Drosophila melanogaster: one gene and its partners. The protein of the gene in region 1 interacts with the protein of each later gene in a pairwise test. Each region holds a gene or a part of one and is shown on either strand. Other genes may lie near its edges.

Region 1 (4,664 bases):
GATTCGCAAACTAAACACCAGACGAACATAAAGATTAGCAAGCAAGTAACAAACAAATTTGTGTAGGTTCTAAGCTCAATTTTCTGATAACGTTCGCGTTGCTCAGCCGAGAAACTGGAAATAAAAGGCGTACTTAAGCATTATGTTCCCTTATTACTTTATTTATAAATTATTATTTAAAATTATTTAACAAGTTGTTTTAAAATAATATATTTCTTAATTTAAATAAACAGCGGATTATGACCCGTTTGAAATATTTTAAAGAACGAAAAATGCCTTTCGTACTGCAAGTACTAATATTACAAAAATAGTAAATGTTTCGGGTTAGAATGATATGTTATAAATTATAACGCATTTATAGTTAGGACAAATATGATAAAGATGAAAAAGAATATGGATAAGTGAATAATATGTTTACACATACATCCAAATTCTTTATTATTTAGATCTCTGGCCTGCTGAGAAAATTGTTATATTTTAACTCGATGCAAAAAACATGTGTACGTCAAATATCTTTTGCTCTTAAAGGGACTATCAGCAAAATATAAACGGGGGGTCGGCTTTCCACTTTAGGTACTTCGGGTAACCGGAGAATACCCACTGCGAAGAGCCTCCATTTTTAAGGGACTGAAGGACACTTAGTAAAAAATAAAAAATCACAGTTTTTATGGGTTTTGCTTGGGCGTTTCTTTATTTCCATTTTATGTACAAAACTTATGACAGAAACGGACGAATTTGAGCGTCCGAGTGCTTAAAATGTATTGCAATGCTCAGCGTTTTTAGTTTCTTTATTATGACAAGAAGTTTGGGGCTTTGGGACTTCGACGTCGAGATCCAGATCCAAAGTGCTGAGGCTACAGAATAAATCGCTTGCGAGTGCGATATGTATCCATGCTATTATGTATGTACATCGTACATAGTCAGAAGCTCCATGAAACGAAGTGATATTTTATAAGTAAAAATAACAAGGGCGCTATTGGCTATCTTATTAGCTCGAATATTTGATACCCCAAGCTTCTTAAAATCCAGCCAAGTTCAACCTATAAGTATGAATCGCAGTCCAGCCATAGATCCCTAAAAAACAGTCGAAAATTCAGAGGTGTTGTATGACGATGATGAAAACTATCTGAACATACGGATTGAAGTAGGGCGAACGAAGTGGATATGTCCGTTTGGACGTGATCGTAAAACCCGATTCCAACTGCTCGGTTTGCTGACGTGGCGCAACCAGATACTTGTCCGCCCGCTCGCTGGCCGGTTGATACTTTGCTGCCGCCACAGCGTTGAATATTCGTGTGCTCCATATCTCCTTTTTCGGTGCCTCGTTCGGCGACGACATTGGGGAGACAGGAACCTTCGCGGATACAGGCGAATCTACAGATTTTGGATATTCGGGATCAGCATTTACTCTGCCCGGGAAAGCAATCCCGTGTTTGACCTTCATGTGCATCAGGAGGAAGGTCCGCCGCTTGTAGCGTTTCTTGCATGTGAGGCACTTATGCTGCTTGGTCAAATTCTTCTCTAACCGATTCACAGCCAGCTCTTTATTCCCGTGGAAGTGGCTCTCGTGGTATTTCAGCGACTGGCGGGAGCTCAATCGCTTTCCGCACCAATTGCACTCGAACTGACCTTGATTGAAAGCCAAGGATTTGGCATTTGGGGGCTTGGGTTCGATCAGAACCGCCGATCGGGACTTCCCTGCACCCGCATCCTGAATCGGATCTTGTGCTTGGGGTCGGGGATTTTCCAAGACCGGTGGTTCCTCCACCCTTGTGAGAATTCCTTCCGGCACACAAAGGTTTTGCATTTCAAGCGAAGTATGTTGGTTACTTGGAATCGCGCTTGCCATTGGATGACCAGAAGGCTCCAGAGGAGATTGCGGTGACATTGGAAGTTTTTGGCGCAGTTCGAGTGGCCGATGACCTAAAAACTGCACTGGTGGCTCATAAGCCGTATGCTGAGCGGTCATATACATGGGTGGTATCTGAATCGGATGTTGATGAACCGCAGGCATTTGAAATGGAATTTCTGGTTCGAGCGGCGGTGAGTAAAAATCCATGGGTGGCGGACAGCCAAACTCCATCCGATTGCGGTAGTGGGCATTGTGATGGTGATCCATGTCACCATGATCAATGGAATGAAATAAGTGCTGATCTGTGGGATGCACGAATGGTTTATTCATGGACTGAACAAAGGGTGTTATCGTCGGCGGAGGTGTCTGCTCCTGCGCACGCGTGTTATTCCAGGCGTTAATTTCCGCCGCATGTTGGGTGAGGTGCTCCTTGAAGGATTCAATATCATTGAAGGGCTGTTTGCACAGGTAGCACGGAACACAGAGCACGGTTCCTTCGGGAACATTTATATGTTCACTGCGAGCCAGAATCTCCTTGACCAGCGGCATATCCGTAGGATCAGTGGGTGAAAATGGTGGGGAGGGTATGGCGGATGGAATTTGCGGGTACATCTTTGCGGGATGCCTCTTTGGTTCCGTCTGGCGATGGTGGTGATGATGGTTCATGAGTTCCGTCTCTATGATCTCCACATCGCTATCACTTTCAGCGTCCATGACACTCTTCGGTTGGTGGAATTATAAATAACAACTGTTCTGTAGGATCGCTTTCACGTTAAATTCACTAGGGTGGCCGGCCATGCTTTTTAACAGTTACACTCGATCTAAGTACATATGCATATATACATATGTGTAAATAAAATATAAAGTTCCAACGCCCAGCTCACAACTGCGCAGCTCGACGTTTCTCTGCGGACTAAAAGAAGAAAAGGCGATCGCATTCTGTAAAATCCCAAATAAGAAGACTTTACTCGTTGAGTTTTTGTAAGAAACTGATTTTATTTGGAAATATCTTCGGTTTAAATAGGTGACATGAGAATCGCATCTTAAAGTAAATGGCCTACGCAGAGGCCTAAGTAAATAGTCCCCGCCTTATCGAGGTCCCACGCTCGGGCACATCTGCCTATCTTGAGCGGCGAGGACCTTATCTGTGGTCTCCCACTAAGGGACTATTTTAGGAGGCGGGGAACGATCTCAAGTGACTGACTCATGTAGTGTGCACTTAAATTACATGTTTTTGAGCAATGCACCCATGTCGCCTTAGATAACAAAATCCTAAATATAATTTATCGCTCTCGATTCATTTACATAAGATATGAACGGAGCCCAAAATTGTAAGTCTTTAAATATATTCGTGTTCATGTGTGAACACATTCTATTTATGCGATCTACGCTGTCTTCTCGTTTGTTTAGAAGTACGTTTAAGAATCAGAATAACAGCTAGACTTATTTGAGATAAGGCTAAACAAAAAAGCATTTTATTTTTGCACCATCTTATGGCAGGCATTCACAGTTCCTTCAATCGTTTTAAAGTGCTTAGAATAGTACTGATAAGCCTTTTTACTGATAAGCCTTTAATATTTTTTAAATTGTCATTAGTGTTCAACGGTTTTATGATGCCCACTTCGAGTTATGGGAACGTAGGTACAATAAAAGGACACCAATAGAAAAGAACAAGAACATTTCTTAAATACGTATGTATGTACATATGTATTTACGCCAGAAATTATAAAAGAGATGAAAAAGGATATGGTATACCCGTTTCTTGTGGAGCACGGACTTGCATTGTTAAAAATATGTACATATGTTGTTTAAATATGTGTTTAGACATGATAAGAAGGCAAACTATAAATATGTCCTATTTATGGGCTGGAATAAACATGTCACTGGACAGCATAAGTGGCAACTACAGATAAGTACGGTTGCAGCGGCCCATTGCCGAAGTGTCAAGAGATAGGTCTCAAACATAGATTTAAGAATAAAACTCAGATGCATTTACCAACGTAGACTGCGGCGTCTTACAAGCGCTGCATTATATAATTGGTTGATAAGAACCTATGTAAGAATGAATAAAAGGCGAAGCCCTCGCAGCAGCGAGTCAGTTAGATTCAAACACCCGAATTGAACTCATTAAGTGTACGCACAAGTTTATAGTGTGACAGTCTCAAAAGTATGTAAACTTGGAATTTGTTGTTTATTTTCTTGTATATTTAATATTTTTAATTTGTTTTTTGATTTATAAGTAAAATAAATATTGTTTAATTATATTTTATAAAAAAAATTGCGTTTAATTAAGCAAAAAACCTTTAATTTTTAGCTTTAAAGTCAAAAATTCAACTTATTTCACAGTGTGTAAACAGTTTCTGTATATCTTGGGTATATCCTTTTTATCGAACATTTTGATTTAAGTACCAGGTATATATATTCATTTGTGTTAATATCCAAGGTTCACTTTATTTATATCCTAACATATATGGCTTACCTGAAGATCTTTTTAGTCCATGTGGTCCATGAAGTACCGAACACGCACGAACGTGCTCGATCTGTACTCTACCTAAAGCTACACACGTTTGGTTATGTGTTCGTCCACCCGGAAAGTCCTTAATTTTTATAAAAGGGTACCATTATAAAGTTATTTTTCACAAGTAATTGTAGATTAATATGTATCAAACATATGTATCAAAATTAACGGACATTGCTACATACATATATCGACTTAGCTGATCACCAAGTCTCCTTAAAGGATGTCGCTTCACAACTCGTATCATATTATTAAATGCTTTATGAGGCCTGAAGAAAAACATGAACAATAATT
Region 2 (4,686 bases), on another chromosome or scaffold:
CATACACATAAATCGCCTGCGAAGTGACCCTTGGCAATGGCGAAGGTAATTGCGTACTTACCGCTCTCAGCGGAACCTGAACCTAACCAAAACCAAGCGAACCGTAAGGTGGATTCGTATTCCCTCGATTGCGTGCCCGTTTCGGGAATAGATTTATCGTCTCGTTTGAAATCCGCACTTTATTTATGGTAGCTTGGCCACATTTCTTTGCGGATCTCCCACTCCAATACTTATTATTTATTATTCTATCAAACGTTACGTTACACTGTCAGCACCAGCACAATTCACTACGCGCACTTCGAGGCGATTACGAGATTTCGAGGCGATCAAGATCCGAGAGCGCTGGTCGAGAGGCACTACCGTACGGGGCGAACTCAAGAAAGAATCTGCAGCGGTGCAGTTGCTCTGAAGATTTCGGAGAAGACCTTCTTCGTATCGGACAACGTGCAACTTGTTGCACGCAACATGTTGGTCTGAGACGACTGCTAATACAAAATGTTCAAATACCTTACTTGATATTTTATTTATATATTAAGTAAACCTACTTTAAATAGGTTTAACATAACTTAACTTTAAGAAGTTTTTTATAGAGCAGAAAACTTTCTTTAATATCTTATGAAAAATAATATCTTCACAAAGTCATACGATCTCGAAGAAAACCGTTTCAGATTTGGCCTTTTATTAAAAACCACTAAGCTACATTTTGGCAGACAATAGTCAGATGACTTAAACTATACAGATTCATTAACACCAATGGATTCTATGTTGACCTGAACGACTAAAACAGCCTTGACCTACAAAACTTTTCCGACCTATCAACTAAGCTTATTAAACATGTAAATATGTTGTTCTATTCCTCGGGACGAGTCTCGCTGTAGAAGCCCAGATTCATTGTGGGAATCATGTTGCTGTAGAACGACAGTTCCGCTGCCGAGGGACGCACTAGCTGGGGATCCTGAACTAGCGGAGCCGTCATAGCCACTGGAGCCTTTTCGGCCATTTTTAGGGGTAAAATAGCAGCCTCTTGAGCCCGCTGGGCCATCTTGTGCTGCAACTGATGGACTTTGAGGTGATTCTCCAGCTCAATTTGATGCAGGAAGCTAATGCAACAGATTCCGCACGTAAAGCTGGGACCATGAGCCTCTAGCTCATGGCGCTGCAGTTGCTCGCGTCGGTTGAAACCTTGATTACATGTCTTGCAGGCGAACAGCGAGTCCATGTGAAGAGCTTGATGGCGTTGCAGGTCCCTCTCCCGTTGGAAAGTTCGATCGCAGACATCACAGTGGTAATAGCGTGAGTTTTTGGTTTGTGCGGCAGCCTTTTGTTTAGCCTGCAACGCCTGCTGCTGCAGATCACCCTCCATCGGGGGAATTAGACCCATTTGCTGCTGCTGCTCCATGTCCCGCCTGGTATGGACTTGCTGGTGGGCTATTAGCTTATCCCTGCGCGAAAACGAGTAGGGACAGCGTCCACATTGGAAAGCCTTTACCTCTCCGTGCGAACGTGTGTGGCGCATCATTTCCACAGCCGTCTGGAAGGATCGCGGACACTGCTGGCAAACAAAGGGCTTGACACCGCTATGAATGCGCATGTGCTTGGTCAGATTTGTATTCCGCGAGAAACTCTTGGAGCAAACGTTGCATGTGAAGGGCCTCACGCCAGTGTGCACGATTGTGTGCTTTTTAAGATCGGAGCGGCGCACAAAACCCTTCCGACAGTGAGCACACACATACGGACGGTCCGGATCATGCAGTGTCTTTATGTGCGAAATCAAAGCAGGCCGGGTAACCAGCTTGATGTTGCAAAAGTTGCAGCAGTACGGTGCGTTGGGATCGTGTGCAGCCAGCTCGTGCTCTTGACACTCGGCGGGCAGAGTGAACCCAAGATCACAGTATTGACAGAGGAACGCTCGTTTTGGCCGTGCCTCCGTGGTGTTGGCGTTGTTGGCAACGGACTGTTGAGCCGCCATCTGGGCCGCATCCATGCCCAGTGGCATGTCGACGTCTTCGCCGTTCTGGCCATCTTCCTCGTCCTCCTCATCGTAGTCTTCCTCCTCCTCCTCATCATCGTCGTCATAGTTTTCGTACTCCCCATCGGAGCCGAGTGCGAATTCCTCTTCACTGCTCTCTGCCAGATTCTCTGGATCAACTTCCACAATAATGCAGCCCTCCTCGGGTACGAATACTCCGGGGTTGCCATTCAGGCCTGGACGGTGCTTCGGATGATCTTTAATCATCTCCTTCAGCTGCTCCTGCAGGGACTGTTCCCGCTCCTGCATTCCTTTTCGCAGCTCGAATGCCTCTTCGAGGATCTCCAGACACCTTGAGCAAATGAGCTCCGACAAACATTCGTTGCGATCGTACTGTAGGTGGAGAAGTTATTCATGCACTTTTTCCATGGATTATAAATGGCCCACTCACCTGAACGCTCCAGAGACTCTTGGAAACCTCTGCAATGGACACATCCTTGCAAAACTGCACGGTGTCATCGAAAATGTTTAGCGAGTTGGGATCCGTATTATGGTGGCACAGGCGACAAGTGCTCACATCCTGATCCTGGGTCATGCTGATATCCGATGTATGCATTCTTCAATCATATGCATTTAAGCCGGGATTGCAATAAATTATCCAATTGTTTAAGCAAACAAAAGCCACACCGGTAGCAAATAAAACGCGTTGGTCAATGGCCAATCTACCACGATAGTATCGATATGTCGCGAAATTAAACAACATGGTCCAATCGATTGTCGGAGGAAATCGATAAGCCGCTGCACAGTGGGTTACTTAATTGAATTATAGGAATTTTTGAATATTTGAAGTTTTTAAATTAAACAATTTTGTGTTTTATTAAAGTTCAGATTTGTACCTTTCCATTTTAAAATACTTTTACTAAAATTGTAACAAAGCCATATCTAATACGCAAAATAAACGTCAGCATCTTTGGTAGCAAAAACGAAACTACTTATGTGTAATTCTTTGGGGTTGAAGTTTGATGATGCTCAAATTCAATAAAACGCAGTTTCTTTCTACACATTAAAAATTTGTAAAGCTGTTTGCATAAAATATAAATTATAAGACTTATAAGGCTCGTGTCACACTTTTAAATCAGAAATGCACTTACGATTAAAGCAGTGGGCGGCAGGTACCTAATTGATGCGTACCTATGTAGGTACACGCCGTGAACACGCGAAGCGAGAGCTTTTTCAATTGCCCGCGGACTCTTGATTAAAGCGGAGGTATTTTTCGAGTGCCGGCACTCTTTCGGCGAAAGCGGATGATTGTTTAAAAATCTGTGCGTACGCGCGTATATTCCTTTAACTAATCGGGATTGATTGCTTGCGCGGTTATTGCTTAATTGCAGTGAGATTTTTGGTTCTATTGAAAGTGGCTAATGTTCGTTTAGTGGAATTTATTGCACTGCAGATGCTGCAAATTATACTAGAACACACACACACACATCGGCAAAACAACTGTTACGCCTACGCAGCAGCGGCAACAACAACAACAACAACAGCAGCAAGGGAATTAGCAGCAACAATTTTCCACCCATAGAGGGAAATAACTGTTCCGTGAGTTTATACAATTTGGGCTGTATTTGTTGTTTTCCACCCACGTACTTTTTGTCTTTATTATGCTCCTGCCGCTTCTCCTTCTTTCGCTCCTTTTCCCTACCCACCTCCCCTCTTCCACTTCTTTTCTCTCCCATGCGGTTAGTGTGTTATTCCCGTCCTTAAGGAATAAAAGCAACAGCAACCCCGTGTACATTTATTGTTCTCTCCCCCGATGCACGGAGAGAAATTTGATTTTGATGTGTAATCAGGTTCAATTTTATTATTTAGATTATATGCATAAAATGATGAACTGATTGGACCACATTGCTAAAGGAAACACAGGGTTTTTTTTTTACAATTTTGAATCAACTACTCCAAAAACATAAACACCGTATGAATGATGATCGCAAATTTCAATGGAATAGTTTTTTTTTTCTGTGTACCTATCATCCTGTTAACCCAAGCTTTGCCCTCGCACCCTGTAGTTCTCATGAGTGTTAAATTTTCTGCCACCAAGTCCCTGTTAATTTTTGGTTATTGGGATTCCTCACTTTTCACAGTTGCCGTTGCGCGTATGAAAATGAATTTGTGCATTTATAATTCATAAATAGGACTATAAAAAAGAGAATTTATAATTTCATGAATTTACCGAAATTGGGGTCTTTAAAATGCGTCTATTAGCCTATTTAGGTAGTGATTTGTAGTGAGTTAGTAGTGAGTAGAACGAAAGCACTCTAGCGTATGCACTATCTGCCCTAAAAAGTTTGAACATAAAGATAAAATATAATTGCTTAAGTGAAATAAGCGCAAAGATTGCATTCGAGCTTAATGGTCTGATTAAAGTCCCTAGAAGCAAATCTATATGATATCACCACACCGAATTAGTAAATATCCTTACCCTACGAGACTTCTGCTAACTTAATATTTACACTTGCATACAATTACCCCTAAACATAGGGAACATGCCATTTGCCGGCCACATGAGAGTGACTTCCAATTTTGTGTACAATGAAAAACAACTGAAGATTGCTGTCCTAAACATTCCACTCGGCAATTAAGTGCTCGGCAATGATCATTCGATGAGGAAAGTCCAATCAGCAGATCAAATGAATCGGTGCCGTGACTCAAGCTAGGTC
Region 3 (5,755 bases), on another chromosome or scaffold:
ATGACATGCCCATGCCCCAGCTGGAGAAATACTTGGAGAAATCTATACGTAAAATGATGGCCGACAAGCACGAGATGCAGATGATGTGCGGCTTCCTGGAGGCAGAGTCCACGCGCCTGGAGAATGCCTTGGAGGAGCAGCGAAACATTAGCTTCGAGTTAAACGAGTCTAGTGTGTGTTCCGAGTGCAAGAAGCGTTTTCAAACCCAGTCCGCCTTCGTGCGCTATCCAAATGGGCACATCGTGCACCTATCCTGCCACGATCGGCTCGCCAGGGCGGCTGCTCAGCAATAAGTGAAATACTCCAATGTGATAACTGATCAAGGTATAAAGTGCGAATTGAGTGTAAATGTCTGTATTATTCTGTTTTTAAATAAGCTTTTTCAGTACTCGTATGTAATGGATATACTGCAATGCTTATACAATATAATATAGTTTGCATTGATTGATTGTAACAATCAACTTGCAGCTAATCATCAACAATTAAAGACAAGCAGAAGTATAGAAAACCGATATTGTACATATTTATTTGACTATATTTACAGGAAACTTGCTTTGCACTGGCGTGGTTTTTAGGCCTCCTCGCTGCCGTCCATGAGGCTGTCGCCGTCCAGGGAATCGTTACAGATGGACAAATCCGACTCGGACTGCGCTCGACTCAACGGCGGTAATGCGCCCGAAAGCGACAGCGAGTGCTTGCTATCCTCGTTGTCCTCCTCCTGCAGGCTGGGCGAGGCTGCACTGCATCCGTTTGTGCGTTCCGTGGACACAGAATGGGCCGCATTGGCCGACACGGATACTTGATTGCCCAATAACGATGTACCTGGCAGTTGAGTTTGCCTTATCAATGCCAGCCGTTGTTGTGTCAGTTCCAAGTGGTGCTTGCGCCACTTGATCCGCCTATTCTGGAACCACACCTTCACCTGAGCCTCCGTTAACTTTAGGGTGTGTGCCAAGTAGAGCCGCTCCGGGCCGACCATGTACTGCTGGCGCTCGAACTCCGCCTCCAGGCACTCCAACTGCTCCGGCGTGAAGATTGTCCGGACGCGCTTGTTCTTCAGTGCGCTCTTCTTGTGAGAATCTGCCGAATCACAAAATGATGATCAAATGGAGGTATTAGATGTGCACACACTATGTTTACTTAATACCCACTTATGATCAAATCATGGGTTATTCATCGACTGAAACACCTGCTTACCCGACTTGAGTTTTTCCCGCTGAAAGCTCAGGGTGGCCTGCTGCTGAGCGTGGTGTTGCTGGTGGAGCTGCTGCAGGCTCTGCAGGGCGGAGGGAGCTGCTCCGACGGCGGCGGCAACCGCTGCAAATCCCGCCTGGTGCGGATGCGGATGCTGGTGTCCGCCGTGCAGGTAACGTCCATTACCGGCGACACTATCACAATTGAAGTTGTTTACACTCGGGCTGCTGTTGTTGTTGCCACTGTTGCTGCCGCCGTTATTGTTGTTGTTGTTGTTGTTGTTGGGGTTGCTCGTGTAGCACTTGTTGTTGTCGTCACCGATGATGTTGTTGTTGTCGTGCAGGGAGAGATTGATGGCATTGTTGTAGTCCTTGCGCTGGCTCTGCAGGCCCAAAATGGCGGCGATGGTAAAGGACTTGCCCACGTCGAGGGAGGAATGCGCCGCTGCCGCCTCGATGAGCTGCGCGTGCGACGTCGCAGTGGCTGCCGCCGCCGCCAACTGTTCCCGGTGGTTGCTGTTGCTGTTGTGGCTGCTGCTGTTGCTGCTGCTACTGCTGTTGTTGTTGTTGTTGCCGGTGGTGGGTGTCGGTGGGTGTGGGTGGTGGCCATCCTGGTGGTGGGTGTGCAGCTGCTGATGATGATGATGTTGCTGCTGCTGCTGCTGCTGCTGCAACTGATGATGCTGCTGCTGGTGCTCCATTTGGTATGAACTCTGACCCGCCGAGACAGCGACCGCCGCTGCTGCAGCCGCTGCCAGCGCTGCATGATGCGGTTGACCATGTGCATGAATGCCCCCACCCAAACCTCCAAGTCCGGCGACCGACGATCCCCCGCCGCTGCCGCCGCCACTGGCTTGTGTGTTATGCAATGCCAGGAAGTGCGACAAGGGATTTGCGTGATATTTGGAAGGATTCTGCAGCATGCTTAGGTATTTGCCACTGTCTCCGAGTTGTCGTCCGCCTTCTGCCGCTGGCCTCCGGGATTCTCGGTCGCTCTGCAAATGGGAGAAATGCCTCTGTTTAATTGTTGCTCTGCTGTGGAGCTTCTGTGGCTGCCAGGTGTCAACGACTCCCCGATTAAATCCACAATTAAGTGAAATGTGATCGCTGGCTGAAGAAGTTGCTCTACCATGAAGTGCTTGGTCAGCTCAGCTAAGTGGTGGGAGATGGAACAATGGAACTACAACTGGTTGGGACGGACCTTTTGATGACTTTCCCTACACAATGACAATTTTGGAACTGAAGTATTACTAACTTAATATAAGTAGAAACAACAGTATCTAAGGTTAACAATACCAATATTTCTAGTTTACAATCGTCTATAAACATGGTCCTATCAAATTAGATATTAAAATAAGAACAATATCTTTAATTATAAGAAGTAAATTTTCTTTTAAAGGATCTTTAATATTTTTAATCAACAGAGGAATCTGCAACTTTTGCATATAAGTTAGAATTATAACTCTATATTTCAATGTTAAAATGGATCCTTTTTGTACATTATTTCTGGCATTCATTACAAGGGTTAAAATTTTATAATATCAGCTTATGTAGAATAATTTTGAAAAGTGTATAATTTGCTTAATGCCAGCTTCTCTCGCTCGCATGCATTGTGTTTGCCCAGGTAAGCCAAACCTGAATCGTTTTGTGGCAATGTGATAGCCTAATTGAGACTTTGTCACAGTTGCTGCTTCATTGTGGCAGATGTAGTTGCTCTCCCAGGTGAAGCACCATCCCAAGTCCTCAGCACTGTTGTCGCTCATTGTTTGTGCTTTAGGCCAAATATGCGAATGTCTCAAGCTGCATTTAAGCTGATTTGACTAAATATGCGAGGCTAATGTCGTGTGCGGGCCAAATGAGCTTCATTAGGAGAATGCCATTTGGGTGTAACAAGTGGATTTCACACACATTCCGGCTGTGAATTTCTAGCTACATTAATTGTGGAGCTTAGATCCTGAGAGAAAAGCTAGTATGTTATCCTATTTTGTATCTTTCTAATCACTCATGTTCATTTATCAGTCTTTGTTCAATTTGAAAAAAATTAATAACGATAAGAAACTTGTAAAAACATATAAGCACTTTAAATCAAATTTAAGCTATCATCTGAGCTATCATAAATATGATTTTGTATTGAAAATTTTAGGTATTTATCTTATTGAAACATACAGATTTTAGCTGAATGATAAATTTTTAGAGAATCCGTTATAAAATTTTAAGCATTGAATGCATTTTAAAATATTGGGCATAATAAATTATACATTATTGCTATGTTTACAAGCTCAACGCTGGTAAATCTCAAATAATTCTTTTAATGGCATATCCAAAATCAGAAATCTTTTTTAGTAATCTTGAATTAAAAAGCCGACGGAACTCGATTTGGGCCAAAAATTCTTATAAATTGCAAAAGTTACAAACCTTCTAAACCAATGAAGTTCTAATTACATTGATTTCAATTGCAGATGTAATCAACTCAAAAGATAATCCAAGCGTGAGTTAATCAGTTTTCAGTACTTTCACTATTATTTTCACGAACACAGTTTTCAATCTGAAAAATTTGCTTTTCCGACGGCACTGCAAAAAGTGTTGCCTACAGTTCTGCGCCCAACGGCAGTAACGGAAATCGAATAGAAAATCGAGCGGAAGTTTAACTGCCGGAAACACATGCGAACGCGAACGTGTTGCAAACTGAACTGAACTAAAAGTTCGTGGCCGTAAAATTTTTACATTATCGGCAGCGAACGCCGGCAGCGAAGCTGGCAGCGCTGCTTTCTGTTTGCTGCGGTGCGCTTGTTTGTGTCTGTGTGCGGGTGAGTGATTCTTTTTGTGGGTGTGCGTGAGTTGCCGTTGTGATTTTTCTATCCGCTTTTCCTTTGGCTTTTTTTTGCTCTCAACCAGGGTTGTCAAAACTTTCACTAATAGTATTCATTAACTAGTAATTAAGTGCTTTGAACTTTGTTCGTTTTCATGAATACATTTAATTTTTTGTGCTAACGAAAACAGAATTAAATTTAAATGAAAAATTGTTTTAAATAATCTTGGTATCTTGGTTTTTGACACAATTATGTACATACCTAATTTTTTATAATTAAATTTGTTACAATTATTTGTACCTTAATTTAGTTTAAATCTATTATGTTCCTAAGCATTTGAACGATTAAAGTGTACATTTAGAAAGTCTCTCTATTATACATTCATATATATGATATTTTAAAACATATTGGTACAACACATCCGAAAGATATAGATTTATTATTTGTCTTTTAAAAGCAATATCTTCAAAACAGCAAAGCGTTAAAATCTCCTTTTTAGACTTTCGCCCATGACTTTGTTTTGCTACAGTTGACAACCCTGCACTCAGCTTAGATCAGAGCCATTGAAAGAGCCAACAAAGGAAAGAAGGAGATGAGATGTAGCTGAGGCATAAAAACATCGTCAACCGAAGCCTCATCATCATCATCGTCATCATAATCATCGTTGATAGTCATCGTCATTATTCAGGAGCATCCACCAGGCAGTTACATAAAAAGGAATCACCCACCAAAGGGAGCAATCCACCACCAGCCACCCGAGCCACCCACCTATCAGAGCAACCCTGCCCACACACCCATTGGTAAACACCCGTTTCCCTTCCGAGGGCGAGTGTATAAAAAGTTATTGAAATTATGATATAAATGGATAATTGGCTCACTGGTAGCGTCTCCCTCGCTCATGGCAAATGGGCGGTACCTAAGCAGTCGGAAAATATTGCGGGACAATATGGCGACGCTGGATTATTAATATTTTGTGAATAGGTGGAAAAGCCACTGGGGCAGGGCTATGTGGGGATAGACATAATTAATGAAGCAATAAGCTAAGAAATTACATCGTAGATACATCATAAGTATAAATATCTAAATTTGGACAGGTAAAATCGACAAAACAACGCACATTAATAATTTGTTTTAAATCTTAATTTAGTTAAATTTTCACTGTATACAACATGATATTCAATGTCGAAGTGCAATTCAGAGTCGAATTACCTTTAGATTTAGTATTTCAGTTTACGACTTATCAGTAAATAAACTTTGTCAATTTCATTTTATGGTCCTTTTTGGCCGATGTTAGTAGTATTAAGTCTTGGAAACGTTTTTGGCCCAAATCCCCAAACTAAGTTGGCAATACGAACTATCTACAGCCGCAGGTCAACCCCAAACCCAACCCCAATTAGCCGTCCCCTTGGCTCCACCCTTTTGCCTGCCAAACGGGTGTTCAATTTACCGTTTGATAAACTACCCGGAATGCCAACGATCATTACGAGCCAGCGAAACTGGCGGAAACGGAAATGGAAAGACGAAGGAGGCCCCAATTAGCGGCCCATCAAAGTAAATCAATGCAAGAGCACGTGGAGCGGGCAGACAAGGAAAATGCCAAAAAAGAACAAAGCAAATGGCGAGTTTACACACAAAAAAATAAAACAAATGTAATCCGTTAGCTTTGAAGAAACTTTAAATGTATGTACATAAAATATAGTAAAAGTAGTAGATGATTTTTCACTGCAAGAATTTGCTTGCTATGCAGTTGCA

The links.
Region 2: the proteins of Lime (region 1) and prg interact in a two-hybrid assay, tested with the Drosophila melanogaster proteins (one large-scale study listed by BioGRID).
Region 3: the proteins of Lime (region 1) and CG18599 interact in a two-hybrid assay, tested with the Drosophila melanogaster proteins (one large-scale study listed by BioGRID).

What each region holds. Positions count from the first base shown.
Region 1 is NT_033778.4:9,869,652-9,874,315, reverse strand, and holds Lime (linking immunity and metabolism), read right to left. Parts: upstream 2,847-4,664; 5' UTR 2,567-2,846; coding exon 1,137-2,566; intron 1,075-1,136; coding exon 1,041-1,074; 3' UTR 670-1,040; downstream 1-669.
Region 2 is NT_033779.5:8,462,509-8,467,194, reverse strand, and holds prg (piragua), read right to left. Parts: upstream 2,708-4,686; 5' UTR 2,586-2,707; coding exon 2,421-2,585; intron 2,363-2,420; coding exon 851-2,362; 3' UTR 501-850; downstream 1-500. UniProt on the Drosophila melanogaster protein: May be involved in transcriptional regulation. The function of this protein is unclear.
Region 3 is NT_033777.3:18,265,918-18,271,672, reverse strand, and holds CG18599 (uncharacterized protein), read right to left. Parts: upstream 3,885-5,755; 5' UTR 3,609-3,884; intron 2,189-3,608; 5' UTR 2,117-2,188; coding exon 1,198-2,116; intron 1,081-1,197; coding exon 572-1,080; 3' UTR 501-571; downstream 1-500. Other genes in the region: Vps39 (vacuolar protein sorting 39), read left to right, coding at 1-293.